Saccharomyces cerevisiae S288C: one gene and its partner. The protein of the gene in region 1 purifies or fractionates together with the protein of each later gene. This does not show direct contact. Each region holds a gene or a part of one and is shown on either strand. Other genes may lie near its edges.

Region 1 (2,914 bases):
ACGTTACAAAAAAGAAGAGATTAGAGATGCTGATTTGGAGAAGATGGTAATGGAAGAAGTGGCAGTGTCGGTATATGATGGTTTTAAAGCCGAAATTAACAGCTCAAGTGAAGCTTCCACGATAAACGAAAAGGAAGCAAACCAGGATCTTAAACCCTGCCAAGAAAAAACCGCCAAGGCAGGGTACACACCAGCATACAGAAGGCAATTGAACGCTAGTATGGGGACTTTGCGTCCAAAAAAGCAGAGCACTGCATATACCAATGTCCCCGTCATTTTCAGCGGCGAAAAGGTGAATTATGGGATGGTCAGAGATCCTTCCTATAGTTTTATGTATCCACTGACGCTATCGCGCAAAGAAACGAGTAGTTTGAGATCAGCTTCTACGTCAAACTTGTCATCGAGCACAGAAAATACTGCGTTACACGAAGAAATAAAACTGGATGACCCATATGAAAACGATTTTACGAATTATACTGTCAACAAGAGAGAATTTATTGACAGCTTACGGCCACACTAATATATATGCATATAGATATATAAACGTACCTACATAGTTTTGCATTTGTATAGATACCCAGACCACTTGTAATAACGATAAAAATAAAATAATAATAAAGGATATTTACAGACAAATAGCACCATACTTGCTATTAAATTGGTGTCTTGGTATTTTCAGCTAGCAAATCGATCTTTTGGCCAGCGGCAGTGACGCTCCATTCATGAATCAAAAACTCTTCGTCGTGAGTGTTCCTATCGGCAACCAGTCTAACGGTTCCAGTAACGTTTTTGTCCCCCTTGATATAAAACGTAATGTTAATCCTACCCTTCACAGAGTTCAGTTCACCGTAGACCCAAGGGATGATACCATCAAATTCTATGCTCTCACCCAGTATGTTTTTAGTTGCTGGAGACCGTCTTATATAATACAGCGTGTTGGAGATAATGGGGGACTCCGTCTTTTCATAGTTGAAGATCAAAGATAGTGCGGACCCAATGGCCACAGAAAACAACAAAAATCCAGCTATTCGCTTTCTCCTCTCCGTGGTTGGGTCAGGCAATTCTCTGTCAATTCTCAATGGCCTGTTCTTGTCTTTCAAAACGATCTTGGCCTCATCTTCAGCGACACTATTATTGAATCTAGCGCTGGTAGAGAATGAGTGCAGCAAGGAACCACGCACTAGCACAGCCTTAGCTGCAGAAGGTGTCACTTTCGGCAACCCTTTAGTTACTAGTCTTAACATCATGTATAGTCTGTTTTATCTTTTACTTTTATGTCGTGGACTGGTACGGAGAGAAAGATCGAACTGTTTTAAAACTGGGATTAAAATGACAAGAAGGCGCTTTCTTTCTCTCCACAATGATCAAAACAAGAACAAGCAAAACGCAAAGAGATGACATTAGTAAGTACCCAAATGAGCTACTAACAACGCATCCGGTAATACTAACAAGAGAAATTGGTTAGGTAGGGAAACTAGTACACATATCCATAGATTTGGTCTTGGTATCAACGTGCCTCGCGGGGATTAAACGCAATACAGGTTTGACGCCTAAACTGGAGACTCTGGACAATCAGACTATGAGAAACTACATGAAGCGGTACTTGAACTTGGGAGAGTCTGTATACGACTATTCTGTTGCCACTTGTGGCTCCTCGACGTATTTCGCTAGGAAATAGGTACGTTTATATTCTATATATGTTGATAATATTTTGTATAACGGCACCCAGCCGGGGGCCAAAATTAATAACCGCAACTTAAAGAGCTATCGCTATCGATTACGCATAGAACTTTAAATGCTAGACGATGATAAGGGCACGGCCATGCATCCACATATAACGCCGTTCACGCCTGAGTACTCAAATGAATTACTGCGAAGGGTCCAGGACCTGTACCACGAAGATATCAAGCACTACTATCCGCAGCTAAAACTGGAGAAGCTGCTGGACCTTCTGGAGCATACAGAGTACCTATTCGAGTTATATCTAGATTCAATCCATCACGATAGGCCCAACGATGCACTGACAGCGTTTATCATTGGATGCTACTACGTGTTCTTAATTATTCCACAATCTTTGCAGTTCCAAACACGAAACAAGTCCTACAGCATCTATACAGATCTAAAAAAGATGTATGAGAATGAAATGAACATGACCAATGTTGTGCTTATGGTGAAGAAAGAAATCGGTGTGGTCCTAGATGAATCGGTTAAACACGGGGCCGGTATTGAGCACAGAATCACCAAGAAGAGGGCATTTTCAGTTCCAGCTGACGATCTTTCAGGTCAGGTAGCTTCACTATCACTTGACACCGCGGCACCGCAAGATCATGGCCTCAAAGGCACGTTTACTGAAGACGACGCAGAACAATCTTCACCTGTTTGGACAGCACCAAACTTAGAGCCCAACGACCAATTGAAACTGGCTTTATTGCCCGAAGTGATACCAACGCCAGCTTTTCGTGAGCCTGAAAGAAAGACAAGTGTTCCAGTGAGACCATCTGTTTTATTGGAAGATGTACCCTCCATATACCACGAGGATGACACTAGTTTCGCATCTTTGAACCCACCATTTCGAGAAATAACCGCAGATAGATCAGTAACTCATCGAAAGGATTCTTACCATTCTGTTTATATGGTGGATAGCGGCAACCTCAAGGAAGACAATGATGATCTGTTCAACGTTGAGAATGATGGCTTCATCCAGAGTTTGGATATTTTACAAAAGCAGAGTATAATCACAGCACCAGAATTGTTTAGTATTTTATCGAATCGCGTTGAACGTGAAAAGGTTTTACTCATCGACTTGAGAATACCACAAAGATCTGCAATAAATCACATTGTGGCTCCGAACTTAGTGAATGTGGATCCAAACTTGTTGTGGGACAAGCAGACGAACACACCTATCTACAAGGAT
Region 2 (3,659 bases), on another chromosome or scaffold:
AGGATGATTATGAATTGGAACAATTACTCAACATGATAAGAATACCAATGTTCCTGGAAAAGTTCATGCTCTTTGCACTTTTAACAAGCTTGGACTGTTTTTTGTATTACTTTACTGTATTACCGATACGACTGATAAAGGGATATGTAAAGCAATTCAAGAGTTATCGTCAGCATTATCGCCTGCAACAACGGTCTGGGCATAAGAATAAAATACCCTTTCGATATAGAATAACTTCAAGAGAATATAAAGAGAGATGTATGATTTTTATCATCGTGATTTCATCCATTTTGTTGAGCAAACTAGACACCTCAAAACTATATCACAGGATAAAACGGCAAAGTACGATGAAATTGTACATGCTATTCAGTGTACTGGAAATGGCGGACAAAATGTTGGCAAGTTTGGGCCAGAGCTTATTAACGGTTATGCTTTCTAGGAAAAACTCGGAACGGATATTACTGCATAAATGTTTGTTAGTGTCAATGAGCTTGACATATGTGACTATACACGGCTATGTATTGGTTTACCAGGCCATTTCATTAAACATAGCCGTGAATTCGTATTCCAATGCCTTGCTAACTTTATTACTATCCATGCAATTTGCAGAAATCAAATCATCGGTTTTAAAGAAATTTGATAAGGAGGGATTTTTCCAAATAACCATTGCAGACGTAGTGGAAAGATTTAAGTTGACCTTATTATTGTCAATAACTGGCCTTAGGAACCTCCAGTCGTGGTCATCTTCATTATCGAACACAAGCATCAATTTCTGGAGTCCACGTTCCACATTATCAATCGTCATTAACATACTTTGTGGGCCGATGGTAAGCGTGGTAGGGAGTGAAGTGTTAGTGGATTGGGCAAAGCATGCTTACATCACAAAATTCAATCGGATCCGCCCACAGATATATGATAAGTTCTATTATATAATATACAAGGATTATTCTACGAGAACGCACAAATTAGAAGATAGATTGGGATTGCCTTTACCTGCATTCGTTGTCCTTTTTATTGTAATGGTGAGGCCAACACTTTTTAAATCATCGGAACCTTCTTACCTTCCTTCGCTATTTAGGATCCTCTTCATGGGGGCATCCGTGTTTTTACTAGCATTGTTGGCAAAATTTACACTAGATCTTATTTTAATCAAATGGAGCAAACGGATAGAGCAACGGTTCAGAGACCAAGCTTTCAATACCGTTGTAACTGAAGAAGAATACGTCCCAGGTTTACTCTCGGGCGGTATGGGTAAAGTCGACGTGTCTACAAGAATTGCATTACATTCTGATTACAATAAAGAGAATCGTATAGAGACCGAAAGTGTATCGCCAATGCGGAAAAGAAAAACTACTTTAACTGCTGAATGTACTCCTCCTAGCCTAAATGATATTAGAAGACAGAAAGATTCCAAGAATCCACGATCGCTTGAAAATGTCGCTCGCTATAAAATGGTTTCTAAAAGAATATGGTAATCTAAGATCCGCATTTATCGCGGCTTACGGCTTTCGGATATTTCGTATATTGCAAGGAGCAAAAAAGAAACCCTGCTTACTAAAAAGCTATTGTTTTGCAGTTTATAAGTTCTTGCCTTTTGAATTATTGATCTTTCCTTTATCGTTTATTTAGTTTCCTATTGTAACTTGGAACTGTATTATATAATAGTGCACAGCACTGAAGTTGTAACTACTGTACGTCATGCTTTTCAGAAACATAGAAGTGGGCAGGCAGGCAGCTAAGCTATTAACGAGAACCTCGAGTCGTTTGGCCTGGCAAAGTATTGGGGCCTCAAGGAATATTTCTACCATCAGACAACAAATCAGAAAGACTCAACTATATAATTTTAAGAAAACTGTGAGCATCCGTCCATTTTCTCTCTCCTCCCCTGTTTTTAAACCACATGTTGCTTCAGAATCAAACCCTATAGAATCACGTTTGAAGACCTCGAAGAATGTTGCTTACTGGTTAATAGGTACATCCGGTTTGGTATTTGGTATTGTTGTTCTTGGTGGGTTGACTAGACTAACAGAATCGGGGCTGAGTATTACCGAATGGAAACCTGTCACAGGTACTTTGCCCCCTATGAACCAGAAGGAATGGGAAGAAGAATTTATCAAGTATAAGGAATCACCAGAATTTAAATTGTTGAATTCTCACATTGATTTAGACGAGTTCAAGTTTATATTTTTTATGGAGTGGATTCATAGATTGTGGGGTCGTGCTATCGGCGCTGTTTTTATATTACCTGCAGTTTATTTCGCTGTATCTAAAAAAACTTCAGGCCATGTCAATAAGAGGTTGTTTGGTCTCGCAGGTTTATTAGGATTACAAGGATTTGTTGGTTGGTGGATGGTGAAGTCTGGTCTTGATCAAGAGCAACTAGACGCAAGAAAATCAAAGCCTACCGTTTCTCAATATAGACTTACTACGCATTTGGGTACCGCCTTCTTTTTATACATGGGTATGCTCTGGACTGGTTTGGAAATATTGAGAGAATGTAAATGGATTAAGAACCCTGTTCAAGCCATTAGTCTCTTCAAAAAATTAGATAATCCCGCAATTGGCCCAATGAGAAAGATTTCTTTAGCTTTGTTAGCGGTGTCTTTCCTTACCGCTATGAGTGGCGGTATGGTTGCCGGTTTGGATGCTGGTTGGGTCTATAACACCTGGCCAAAAATGGGTGAACGATGGTTCCCTAGTTCTCGTGAATTAATGGACGAAAACTTCTGTAGAAGAGAGGACAAGAAAGATCTGTGGTGGAGGAATTTGCTAGAAAACCCGGTTACAGTTCAGTTGGTCCATAGGACATGTGCGTACGTTGCGTTTACATCAGTACTAGCTGCTCATATGTACGCTATCAAAAAGAAGGCCGTAATTCCAAGGAACGCGATGACCTCTTTGCATGTTATGATGGGCGTCGTTACTTTACAAGCAACACTTGGTATTTTAACTATATTGTACCTAGTCCCAATATCGTTAGCTTCTATCCATCAAGCTGGTGCTTTGGCGTTGCTAACAAGTTCTTTGGTGTTTGCCTCTCAATTAAGGAAGCCAAGAGCTCCGATGAGAAACGTAATCATTACCTTGCCACATTCAAGCAAAGTAACTAGCGGTAAAATTTTAAGTGAAGCGTCGAAGTTAGCCTCGAAACCATTATAATGGATAAAGGTATTCTTATGAGAATTGACAGTATACTCGCTTTTCCGCTTTGTCGCTCCAATGGTTGGATTGTATGTGTGAGGCTTTTTCTTATTATATGTTGGTATCCCTACGAGAAGCTGTAAATATGAATTTCTTTAGTAGGCATCACACACAACAATAGGGTGTATTTATTTTTATTTTTTTTTTTCTTATATAAATGTCAGTAATACATGATATCTTTAAGTTAGGATTTCACGAAATTTTCTTCTGCCTTCATCATGGCATCTGTATTTGTGCTCGCGAGCCTCCAAAGTATGAACATAAACACAGACCTATACGGAGAAAATGTTTCAGAGCATTTTTCCATTATGTCGTCGTCATATATTTTCCAGTTGTATTTCTTATGCTTAATCTTACTCTTTTTAACTACTTTTCTTTCACGCATTAATTCTTTTTCCAATTCTGGCTTATCTGAAAGGTATTTTGAAAAACCCCTAGCAATACCTAGATCTTCAGGA

What was found.
Region 2: the proteins of COA1 (region 1) and COX15 purify together in Saccharomyces cerevisiae (affinity purification with western blotting; 2 studies listed by BioGRID, with this or other methods). This does not show direct contact.

The regions. Positions count from the first base shown.
Region 1 is NC_001141.2:46,296-49,209, forward strand, and holds COA1 (Coa1p), read right to left. Parts: upstream 1,248-2,914; coding exon 654-1,247; downstream 1-653. Other genes in the region: AIM20 (Aim20p), read left to right, coding at 1-520; ATG44 (mitofissin), read left to right, coding at 1,395-1,403, 1,466-1,678; ubiquitin-specific protease UBP7, read left to right, coding at 1,796-2,914. UniProt on the Saccharomyces cerevisiae protein: Required for efficient assembly of cytochrome c oxidase in the mitochondrial inner membrane. Involved in a step coupling MSS51-dependent cotranslational insertion of COX1 to the addition of its heme A and copper B cofactors.
Region 2 is NC_001137.3:451,761-455,419, forward strand, and holds COX15 (Cox15p), read left to right. Parts: upstream 1-1,698; coding exon 1,699-3,159; downstream 3,160-3,659. Other genes in the region: EMP65 (Emp65p), read left to right, coding at 1-1,475; MAG1 (DNA-3-methyladenine glycosylase II), read right to left, coding at 3,386-3,659. UniProt on the Saccharomyces cerevisiae protein: Catalyzes the second reaction in the biosynthesis of heme A, a prosthetic group of mitochondrial cytochrome c oxidase (CcO).